3 linked regions of the Oryctolagus cuniculus genome follow. The protein of the gene in region 2 interacts with the protein of the main gene of each other region in a pairwise test. Links are inferred from orthologs where the notes say so. Each region holds a gene or a part of one and is shown on either strand. Other genes may lie near its edges. The genes, in order: NR4A1, PGBD1 and ZNF496.

Region 1 (4,118 bases), on a different chromosome or scaffold from region 2:
CCGGCCATTGGGGCTGTTTGGGGAGTGAACCAGCAGATGGAGGATCTCTCTCTGTAGCACTGCGTTCCAGATAGGTAGGTAGGTAGGTAGGTAGGTAAATAGATAGATGGATTTTGACCCAGGAGTACTGGCGTGGGCTGGGGCGTTGCTATTTTAGGAGTGCCCGAGGTACCTCCTAAGAGTTTCTGGATGGATATTGGATCCCAATGGCCACATCCGTGTCCCAGCACCCGGGACCTGCTGACCGGCTCAGCGACAGAGGGCAACGGAGGGCTTCCCCACTGGCGGCGGCTCTTGGGGGTTCAAGTCTACACCAGGAGTTGGACCAGGCGGGGAGGGGGGTGGCGGCGGGGGTTGGAGCCGGCTGCCCACTAGACCGGGTTGTGGACTAGGCTGAAGCCGGGTGAGGGAGGCGCGCAGCATATCAGTGCCCACGCTCGCCCGCCCTGAGAGGTGCTTAGGGCTGGGACGCCAAGGCAGATTCGGCCCCCGGTAGGGGGGGAGGGTGGTTCGCAGCCGCTGCGACCCGCGGTGGGGGCGGAGACCAGGCGGGAAGCAGGTGGCAGCGCCCGAGTGAGCAACCGCTTCTTGGGGCAGCTGATCGCGTCGCCTTAGGAAATCCCGGAGACCAGGTGCAGCCCCTGCCGCCGCCCACGCGGGGGCCTTCCCCCGGCGCGCGCCCAGGCGGGACCCGTGGCCCTGCAAGCTCCGCCCCTAGGTGCCCGCGGCGGCCACGCTCCGGCCGCGCTGGTTCGCGGAGCTGCGGGGCGGCGTCGCCCCCTGGCGGGAAGGCTTGGGACTGGCGCGTCCGGCTTTCCCTCCTGGAAATGTAGGGATGTCGGTGCCGGCCCCACTGTCTGCCAGGAGTCAGGGCCTCTCCCTCAGGTTAGCCCGGTCCCGCCCGCCAGCCCCGGGACGCTGGGAGCTGGCAGGGGGTGCTTCTGCTGCCGCTGCTGCTGTGATGACAAACAGGGGGTCGGACCTTGCCCCCTGTCCAGCATTGCACGTGACCAGCGTCCGCAGAATTCCTCACCTCAGCATCTTCCCGCTCAGCCCTGTACCGATGCGCTTGCCTCGGGGTAAAGGCGCTTTGCTTTCCCTGGCCTCACCCGGGTGCCCGCTCTTGCAGAAACGCACCCTGCTGCGGGCCCCTGTATAATCAGCTCTCATTGCACGACGTCACCCCTCCACTAGAAGGCACGTGCAAGAAAAGTGGAGGCTCTCCGAGGTTCTTTATTCACCCCTTCGGTTCCTGCAACCTGGCGCACGGTCCGCTCTGCTTACGCTCGGGCGTGCACGTCCGTCCGACAGCCTTGCTCCCTTCCAAGGGGCGGCAGTGCCACTTGTGCCCGGTGGAGGGCGCCACCGCCCAGCGCTCCGGAGTGCAGGTGTCTCAGCGAAGCCCGAAGGCCTCGGCGCTCCCACCGCTGTGACCGGAAGCGGGAGGGCCCCCCGCGCTAATCTGCCCTGGCAGGCGGAGCTGGCATGCTCTGGCTGCATGGGCCGGCGCGCTGTGTGCCGCAGGCCAGAATGCCCGGACTGGTGGCTGGGACACAGCGCTCAGCAGCTGATGGAGCCATCACAGCCTGTCCCGGGCGCACAAGACGTTCTGCGAAGGTAGACACCTGGCCGATGTGACTGCTGTGCGTCTGTAACCGGTCGTGGCAGCAGACTGGCAACCAGAGGGCCAATTAGAGGCGACTTAGAGGAGTCTCGAGGCTGCCCCGGAGGTGAGTTTATGAAGGGGATTAAGACGGCGAAGGAGACGGAGGTTAAAAATAGCAACCACTTTTCACCAGGAGCTTATTAGGAGCCAGAGCTGAGGACAGCGCCTCCAGACATTGTCTAATTATAGCCAACACTTATACCGGCGTTGCTCTCGCGCCAGGAACTGCCTGAGCGCCTCGGCCAGGCACGCAGCTGCTCCTCACGGTAGCTCAGGGCTGTAGGTGGCATCTCTGTCCCTGTCCCGCACATGGGGAAACTGAGGCACAAGGGCCTAAAGAACTGGCCCCAGGCCACGCGCCGGGCTGGGATGAAGACAGCTAGGAGTTATCATCAGGCCCAGCACACCTAAAAGACCATGTGAAGCCACCCAAGAGCAGGTGCATCTTAGCCCAGTGTCACCACCAGGCTGAGCCTCCCAGCGCCCACAGAGGTGGCCGCAGCGGTGGGCACAGGTGCAACAGTGGACACAACGCCTCCTCTTCTAGTGGTGCACGGGGACAGAGAACAGAGGCCAGGGCAGCTGGAGGAGTTTGCTCCACGGGCTTGGCTCACAGGAGGGAGAAGCCAGGCCATGGCGGAGGTGTGCTGGTGGCTGTCACCCCCACGCCTGTTGATGGTGATTCCACCCAGAATCTTGGGCTCCGTCCACCCACGTCCACGGGGCAGCATGCACTCTGAGGGGCTGGCCCTCCACGGAGGAGACTGGAGCATGCCTGCCCTTGCTCCAAGTACCCACCACTCAGCTCCTGGCTGCCAGCTTTTACATAAGCTGCTCCATACCAGGGCTGGCCGGGCTGGGCTGGGGGCATGATGAATGGTTCTGGGCCGTCAGCTGACAGCCCTGTGCTCCCGAGGTGACCTGAGGGCCCATCGGCAGCTCGGGTTACCCAGCCCTTCCCGGGAGGGCAGTCCTGCCTGGCTTGCAGAGGACCGTCCCAAAGTGCCTCTGTGTCTGGACATTTATGGTGTGGGTGCTGAGGGACCGCCCCGCGCACAGCCACGCCGCGCCCACCGCTGGGTCTCTGCAGCCGGCGCCGGGGGAGTTGGGGGCTCCCCTAGCACCTCGGAGTCCTGAGCCTGAGGAATTGCAGGTGGGAGGGGAGTGCACGCCAGCCGCATTCCCATGCCTCCCATTCCAGTCCGCTCTGTCCCTGCACTTATGGTCGTGGACACAAGGGGGCGCCCGCACACCCTGATGCCCACCGCAGAGGACAGCACCAGACACACCAACCCCGAGGTCCTGAGTGGCCTGGGCTAGACTCTCACAGACCACGTGGGGAGTGGGACGGTGCGCCTCCGGGGGCTGCGCTCATGTGCTCAGACCTATGGGGCCACCCGGATCGTGCACCTGTTGACACCTGCTGCTGAACAGATCAGGCCAGCGTTTAACCCAGCTATTAGGATGCCGGTTAAGACGCCCACGGGCCCCATCCTAGTGTCTGGTTCAAGGCCTGGCTCCAGCTTCCTGCCAATGCAGAGCCTGGGAGGAGGCAGTGATGACTAGAGATCACGTGGGAGACCTGGATTTAGTTCCCAGCTCCCAGTTTTGGCCCAGCCCTGGCCATTCTGGGCATGAATCATCAGATAGGAGCTCTGTCTCCTTTATTTAATTTTTTGAATTACTTATTTGTTACTTACGTGAAAGAAGCAGACGGCCTATTTGGTCATTTCCCCCAAAAGTCTGTAATAGCCGGGGCTGGGCAGGGCTGCAGCCAGGAGACGGGATGTCATCCAGGTCTCCCACATGGGGGCGGGAACTCGACCACTGGCGCCACTACCGCCGCCTCTCCGGGTCTGCCCTGGAGTCGGGAGCTGGCCCTCGAACCCAGGCACTCTGGTGTGGGAGGTGGCTGAACTGCTAGGTCTGGTACATGCCCCTCAAATAACAGTAAAAACCTTCCCCAAGAAAATAGTAATGCTTTATAAATTACTAGGTGTTACATCCCCTAATTGGCTGGTGCTGTAGTGCAGCAGGTTAAGCCATAGCCTGCAGCGCCGGCATCTCATATGGGCGCCAGTTCAAGTCCCGGCTGCTCCACTTCTGATCCATTTCCCTACTAATGTACCTGGGAGAGCAGCAGAGGAAGATGGCCCAAGTCCTTGGGTCCCCATACCCATGTGGGAGACCCGGAAGAAGCTCCTGACTCTTGTAAATACACACACTCACACACATGCATACACATTCATGCACACGTGCACACACGCGCACACATGCACACCTCTCTGCTCTCCTTGGTGCTCACACACGCGGCCCAGACTCCCTCTGAACTCCTGCAGCAGCGCCCCTCCCCCACCCCCGACGTGCCCTGCCCATGCCCAGGTGCGGCCTCTGCCTCTGCACCCCTCTCCTGAGCTGTGGGTGGGTCCAAGCCACAGGGGAGACGGCCCCC
Region 2 (3,023 bases):
GCGGAGGATTAGCCTATTGAGCCATGGCACCAGCCAAAAAAAACTCTAAAAATTTAATTTACTTCCTTGAAAACCCCATACAAATCCATTAATTTGCAATGAATTTGAGTTCCTTTTTTGTTTTGTTTTGTTTTTCCCAAGAGAATTATGTCACCAGATGACTGTAGAGCTAGGAGAGGCTAATTCCTCCTGTGTTCACAAATTTTCTGAGAGGTGTGAGGAGACCTGGTAAATTACCACCTCCTTCCTTGTCCAAGTTCAAGAACAATTGACAGGGACATGGGAGTACAGCAGATGCTTCTGGAAGCCTCAACTTTACCACTGACAGAAGGCAGACTGGAGGAAATGGCTCAGAGACAGAGCTAAACAGGCTTGCACTAGCAGAGAAGGAGTAGAGCGGGTGTCTTCCTGAACAGGGCAGAAAGGAAAGTGGAATGTCTGTAGAGGGAGGGGCTGCACAAAGGATGTCAGATTTGCTTCTCCTGGAATTCACGGTTAGTTATGACCTGAGGAGTGAGTGAGAGGTGGGAGAGGCCAGAAAATTTAATTCTACCTGAAATCCTCCCTACAGAATTCTGAGCAGTGACAAGCAGCCAACCCCCCAACCTTCTGTCTGTCCTGCCCTGGGTTACAAAAGATTTCTGCTTCAGATTTGTCATGTGTGAGAGGCTGAGACGAGGACTTGGTAGCATGTACTCTTTTTACTTTCCCAGAGATTGCGCGCCTCACATCCCTGGTAGTACTGCTGTTCCCACTGAAAGGACGGTCTCCCATTTGAATACGCTGAAGGCCCGTCTCCCACGGGATTCGTGGGCCCGGATGCACATCGCATCCTTGCAGTATGCCGCAGGAGACATTACCCGGAAAGGGAGAAAAAAGGACAAAGCTCGAGTGAGTGAATTGCTCCAAGGACTCGCGTTTTCTGATGACTCAGATGTGGAGGAAGATAACGAGTCCGAGACCCAGCCTGCTCAGAAGAAGCCGAAGGTGTCTGGTGTCCCGGAGAGGAACTGGACTAAACGAGACATTCAGCCCAACTTTCCAAGCTGGTCGGCATTGGATTCTGGACTTTTAAATCTCAAGAGTGAAAAGTTGAACCCAGTAGAGCTCTTTGAGTTATTTTTTGATGATGAAACATTCAATTTGATTGTCAATGAAACCAATAATTATGCTTCTCAAAAAAATGTCAACTTGGAAGTCACAGTTCAGGAAATGAGGTGTGTGTTTGGTGTCCTGCTTTGGAGTGGATTTGTAAGGCGTCCCAGGAGGGAAATGTATTGGGAAGTCTCTGATGCTGATCAGAACCTGGTCAGAAATGCCATTAGAAGGGATAGATTTGAATTGATTTTCTCATACTTGCATTTTGCAGATAACAGCCACCTAGATCAAAAGGATAAGTTTTCAAAATTGAGGCCTCTCATAAAGCAAATGAATAAAAATTTCCTCTTGTATGCTCCCCTAGAAGAATATTACAGCTTTGATAAATCAATGTGTGAATGCTTTGATAGTGACCAATTCCTGAACGGAAAGCCTATTAGAATCGGCTATAAAATTTGGTGTGGCACAACCACACAGGGTTATCTGGTTTGGTTTGAGCCCTATCAAGAAGAATCAACCATGGAGGCAGATAAGGATCTTGATCTTGGATTAGGTGGAAATCTAGTGATGAATTTTGCTGATGTCCTTTTAGAGAGAGGTCAGTATCCCTATCACCTGTGTTTTGATAGCTTCTTTACAAGTGTCAAATTAGTGTCAGCTTTGAAGAAAAAGGGCGTGAAGGCAACAGGAACAATACGTGAGAATAGGACTGAAAAATGTCCACTGATGAACTCAGAACATATGAGAAAAATGAAGAAGGGGCATTTTGATTTTCGAGTGGAAGAAAATGATGAGATAATTTTGTGCCGTTGGCATGGCGATGACATTATCAGTCTGTGCTCCAATGCTGTAGGCATAGAACCAGTCAGTGAGATAAGTTGTTTTGCTGACGATCAAGAGATCCCTCAGGTAAGTCAACCGTCCATTGTGAAATTGTTTGATGAATGCAGGAAAGGTGTAGCTAAAATGGATCAAATTATTTCCAAATATAGGGTAAGAATAAGGAGCAAGAAGTGGTACTCAATTTTGGTGAGCTACATGATTGATGTAGCTGTGAACAATGCATGGCAGTTACACAGAGCCTGCAACCCAGGTGCCTCTCTAGACCTACTGGATTTTCGAAGATGCATTGCCCATTTCTACTTGGGACATGATACTAATCTGCCAGATTAAGGCAAATCAAATGGAAGTAGAATGGACCAAAAGACACAGAAAATTCTAACTACACATTAGATTGTATCCTACCAAAGCAAATTTGATGTATATAATGAAACTAAGTAATTAAGTAGTATTTTTAAATCAGATGTTTATATAGAATTTCAAATACTATTATAAAAATTACCTGTGAAAATGTTGACCTCCAGTGGTACCTTTCTCTGTCTAATTTTGTGTCAGGTGTGGGAAATCACTTATTTGCTGGATTATTTTGTGCAGTTAAAAAGAATGAAATCCTGCCTCTTTAAAAACATTTTCTTTAGAGAATGCCAATTTAAAAATGCAGGCAATGTCAGTACCATAGAATGGCACTAAATCCACAGTCCAAAATAGAAGTAGAGCCCATAAGTAGTGATGATCTAAATAAAACATGGGTAATAAGAGGCTGAAGACTGCAGCATTGGTGAGAAAACTGGCTCAGGTTGTGTGTAGGTGAGGAGGGCTGCCTGGATGTTCAGAGAGGAGAGAACCCTGAAGAAAAGTCCAAAGGTAGATCAATGCCTGTGATATGCAAAGTGGGTCCTGCTCCAACTGTGAGTTAGCAGAAGTCAAAAAAGGGAGCACACAGTGCAACAGAGTAACAGGAGAGTCATGAGAAGGAAAGATAAAAGAGTTAAGTTGACATCATACTCCTGAGGAAACTACCAAAGGAGATTAATGAATGGGTCTGGAATTAGTGTCACCAGTGATAGATAATCCAATGAGAAATG
Region 3 (4,392 bases), on a different chromosome or scaffold from region 2:
GCAGGGAGCTGGATTGGAAGTGGAGCAGCCAGGACTCATGGGGCGCCAGCATTGCAGATGGCTGCTTAACCCTTTACCCCACAACGCTGCCCAGACTCTACTCTTGTTTCCTGGCCCTTGCCCCTTCCCACCAGCAGCCAGTTGTGTTCAGGATGCCCAGCATGGCCTGGAAGGCCACCAGGACCACAGGTGCCTAGCAGGTCCTCAGTGCAGGTTTGCTGAACGACTGAACCATCCCACAGACCACAAAATGCAGTTGGCAGCATCATCCCTGTTTCTTGAGGAGGAAACCGAGGCACAGAGGAGTTACAAGGGCCTGTGGTCATCTGGCTAGGAAATGACGAGGCCCCAGGAGTTAGCCCAGGTGCTGACTCAGAACCCAGACTCTGACCTCTGAGCTGAGCTAAATGCAGAAGGAACACAGAGGAGGGGCTTGGCAGGGAGCTGTCTCTCAGAGGAAAGATCCTAACTGCTGGTGGGACCAAGCTGATGGCGGCAACCTCAGAACCCTACATTTTACCTACTTTAGAACTACAGGGTGCGGAGCAGCGAGCACCAATTCCAGTCCCCTAGAGCTGGTCCCAGACTACTCATGGACGAGCACACCAGCTGTGACCAGCACCTGAGTCCAGGTGTGGCTCCTGGCAGGTGCTCTTACAGGGCCCTTCCACATCCAGCATAGCCCCTGCCACTTGGTGGAGAGCCAGGCCAACTGGGGTCTGGCTGGCAGCCCAGGAGGAATCGCTGTCCACACAGGAGCCCCACTCCTTCCCTAAGGAGCCAGAGGATCCCAGCATCTAACTAGTGCTGGCGCCCATTGCAGTCAATGCAGGAGGGGAGGAAGGGGCTCAGGCCCAAGGCACCAGGACAGCCATGGCCACTGGGCCTCTGGTATCCAGACAACCCTCCACCTACTAGACCAGGCCACCTTTAGGGAGGAGGGCTTCCCACTGCTTGCCCTTGAGGGTCTGAAGGAGTCTGCCTTCCCTCTCCTCTCCTTGCCCTGGAGGGGGACAGAGGATGGAGCAGGGCGTGGAGCGCTGGCCACCCAGACTCAGGGCCTGACAAACCGGCTGGCCCGGGGAAGCCCCATCTGAAACGTGGGTGACAGCACCGGGGCAGAGACCCTAACTCCTTCACCACCTCCTGGGGTCCAAGTCTTGTCTCCCCTCCGCCCCTCGGCTGAGCCAACGGCCGCGCCTTCGGGACTCGCGGAGATCAGGCGGCGGTGGAGCAGGGAGGGGGTGGGAGAGGCCTTCCTGCGCCCCCAGACCGCCCTCTCCGGGAGTGGGCGAGGGGCACCGGGAGGGGAAGCGCCCCTGGCCCGCCTTCCCGGGACGTGGGCGAGGGGCACCAAGGAGGGGAACGGCCTGGGCCGGCGCGACCCCCGCCTGGGCCCTCGGCACGCCGGGGCCGGGGCCCGGGCGGGGCGGGGCGGGCCCGGCGGTGTCGGGTGTCGGGTGTCGCCCCGCGCACACCTCGGCCGGGGGCGGGAGCGAACCACTGAGATGCGGAGACCTCCGCCGTCCTAGAGCGGAGCAGGAAGTGTCCCGGGGGAGGGCGCGCGGGGTCCGGCCTTTCCGCGCCTCGGCGTCCGCGGGCTCGGCGGCGCCCAGCGGCCGGGGGCGCGCGGCGGGCAGCGGCGGGGCGGGCGCGAGGCGCGGCCGCGCGGGCGGCGCCGGCCCGCAGCGAATCGGGCCCTGCGGGGAGGCCTCACCGGAGAGGATCAGCGGCGGCCGCGGCCGGGGGCTGGATCCGGCGCCGTGCGAGGGGCCCGGGTGGACGCCGGGGCCGAGCCAAGGCCGCGAGGTGCGCGGGGTGGGAGGAGAGTGCGCTCCTCGGAGGATCCCGGCGGCCGCGGCCCCCGGGGCCGCCCCTCGCGTCTGCCGGGCCGAGCTCGCGCCAGGGGCCGGGGGACAAAGGGGCGAGGGGCCTGGGTACTGGGGCTGCAGGTGTGGCTGGGAGTCCCGGGCCGGTGCGGAGCGCGGGCAGGTGGCGCCGACGGGTCACAGCCGCTGGCCCAGTGCCCGCTCCGTGCGCCGGCTGCACTGCAGAGACCTGGGTGCCCATCGGAGGTTTTGCAGCTGCTCTGGCCTCATGGGTCCTCCTGCAGAGCAGGAGCCAGGCCCGCACGGCCTCCTCACCGGGACGCCTAAGCGGCGCTCACGCCCAGGTGTCAGTGCAGAGGGGGTATGAGAAGCAGATGCCGGGCAGGGCACCGTGCCGCCACCTGCCCGCCCACTTTTCCGGTGCTCAAGATGTGCCTCGGGGACCCGCGCTCAGCTGCAGTGGCCTCAGGTCCCCCCGACGGCAGCGGCTTCTGCGGGGCTGTGCCTCCTGCATTACAGCCTGGGATTCAGGAGCTCTGAGCCCGCCGTGGGAGTGCGGCGTCCCGGCCTGCGCGGGAAGGACTGTGGGTGGAGCCCAGAGCAGGGACCAGGTCTCTGGGTGGGGACAGGGCGACTTCAGATGGGGTAGATGTCCGAGTGAGTTGGCCGACAGACTCGTGGGAAGACCTGGTGCTAGGTGCCTCCCTGTTTTTCTGTGGCAACCTGCAGGTGCGGCCTCTGGTGACCTCCGGGTCCGGCCCAGGCTCTTCCCAGCCGCGCTGCAGCCCAGGGTGGGGTGCTCCGAGTGTGTAGGCCCGCAGGGCGAGGGCAGCCACTGGAGCTCCGAAGCTTCAAGGTAGAGGGCTGGGCACCCGTGGGTCCTGTCCAGATCGACCTGCTCTCCCGAGGGCCACTGGAGGCTCTTCTCCCGCTCCCCCACCCCTTCCACCCCCACGGCATTAGGGACCCAGGCGGTGGCACTGTCCTGTGTCCAGAAGGGTTGTTACGCACTCCAGGGCTTTCCCGACCCCCTGCCCCAGGCGTGACCCCGGGACCCAGCGTCGAAGCCGCGATTTCTGTTTGGAACCAGGTTTGTCTTCCGCCGCTGACCCCGTCACTGCAGCTGGTCATGCCCACGGCGCTGTGCCCCCGAGTCTTGGCTCCGAAGGAGAGCGAAGAGCCCCGGAAGATGAAGAGCCCCCCAGGGGAAGACCCCGGCCCTCGCGCCGAGCCGCCCAGCCCGGAGTCCTCCCGCCGCCTCTTCCGCCGCTTCCGCTACCAAGAGGCGGCGGGGCCGCGTGAGGCGCTGCGCCGCCTGTGCGAGCTGTGCCGGGGCTGGCTGCGGCTGGAGCGGCGCAGCAAAGAGCAGATCCTGGAGCTGCTGGTGCTCGAGCAGTTCCTGGCCATCCTGCCCCGAGAGGTGCAGAGCTGGGTGCGGGCGCAGGAGCCAGAGAGCGGCGAACAGGCAGTGGCCGCGGTGGAGGCGCTGGAGCGCGAGCCGGGCCGGCCCTGGCAGTGGGTGAGCTGGCGATCAGCCCCGGTCCGCGTGTGGGAGGGGCCACTGCACCTGCCCGGAAGGAGCCTGGGGTGGGCAACTGTGGAGTTGTGGTGAGCCCCAGCCCCGGTGTGCTCTGCCTCAGTCTGAAAAGCCCCCTCTGGGGTTGCAGCTCAAGCACTGTGAGGACCCCGTGGTGATTGAGGATGGGGAGCAGGAGCAGGAGCAGCTGCAGGCGGAACCGCACAGGGACCTTGCTGGGGGCCCAGACACCGAGCCCGTGGCCCTGGCTCAGAGCCCGGGGCTCCCAAGCAGACCTCCAGGCCAGCTCAGTGGGGATGCAGGTACGCAGCCCCTGGCGGCCCTGTGTGGTGGGTGTGGGCTTTGTTAGGGTGGTGGCTCTTGACTCCCCTGGCCCCTGAGGAGCTGTGAGCCATTCCCAGAGTGTGGGTCCGTCCCTAGGACGATGGACTCAGAGCCTTATGGGGACTTCTGCCCTCCCAGAGGGAGCGCTTGCAGAGGTGGGTGTCTTGGAGGTGCATCTCTGCACCGTGTCCACAGCTGTGGCCTGAGCTTCCGGGAACCTGTGGCCCCAGCTGAGCGGTGGCCTGCAGGGTCCTTGTGGTGTTCCAGGGAGGCACAGGGAGGTGGCAGGCCCAGGTGTGGTTCCAGTGCCATTGGATGGGAGGAATCCTGGTTGTGCAGTAGTCTGGGAGGCCAGGGGTCTGCTGTCATCCTTGGCATTGTAATCAGCTTTTCACTAGAAACAAAACACCTGTTAAATCCACATGCAATACTGTACAGGATTCTGCATGGTTAAGGTGAGGTGGGTGTGTGAATTCCAGGGCTGCTCACTGGGCCCAGGCACAGGGGCTCTGTCACCGACTTAGGAGGGTGGGCACCTGGGTGTGTTCCAGTCTGGGTAGGTCTGGGCTCACCCTCTGGAGCTTTACCTCCTGAAACAGCCCTTCAAGTGCAGTCACAGCCTGTGCTGCTGTAGGGTTGGAACCTCAGCATGAACTTGGGAGCACATCCTGCCAGAGTCAGTGTCTGTGTATACGGCCTGGG

What was found.
Region 1: the proteins of PGBD1 (region 2) and NR4A1 interact in binary tests that used the Homo sapiens proteins (3 or more experiments, as listed by UniProt). The two-hybrid records come from large-scale screens. The link is inferred for Oryctolagus cuniculus from reciprocal best matches to the Homo sapiens genes PGBD1 and NR4A1.
Region 3: the proteins of PGBD1 (region 2) and ZNF496 interact in binary tests that used the Homo sapiens proteins (3 or more experiments, as listed by UniProt). The two-hybrid records come from large-scale screens. The link is inferred for Oryctolagus cuniculus from reciprocal best matches to the Homo sapiens genes PGBD1 and ZNF496.

Annotation. Positions count from the first base shown.
Region 1 is NC_091442.1:55,341,692-55,345,809, forward strand, and holds the start of NR4A1 (nuclear receptor subfamily 4immunitygroup A member 1), read left to right. Parts: upstream 1-1,217; 5' UTR 1,218-1,730; intron 1,731-4,118. UniProt on the Homo sapiens protein: Orphan nuclear receptor. Binds the NGFI-B response element (NBRE) 5'-AAAGGTCA-3'. Binds 9-cis-retinoic acid outside of its ligand-binding (NR LBD) domain.
Region 2 is NC_091436.1:153,755,496-153,758,518, forward strand, and holds the end of PGBD1 (piggyBac transposable element-derived protein 1), read left to right. Parts: intron 1-713; coding exon 714-2,271; 3' UTR 2,272-2,453; downstream 2,454-3,023.
Region 3 is NC_091437.1:1,716,855-1,721,246, reverse strand, and holds the start of ZNF496 (zinc finger protein 496), read left to right. Parts: upstream 1-1,558; 5' UTR 1,559-1,809; intron 1,810-2,558; 5' UTR 2,559-2,685; intron 2,686-2,919; 5' UTR 2,920-2,958; coding exon 2,959-3,348; intron 3,349-3,496; coding exon 3,497-3,668; intron 3,669-4,392. UniProt on the Homo sapiens protein: DNA-binding transcription factor that can both act as an activator and a repressor.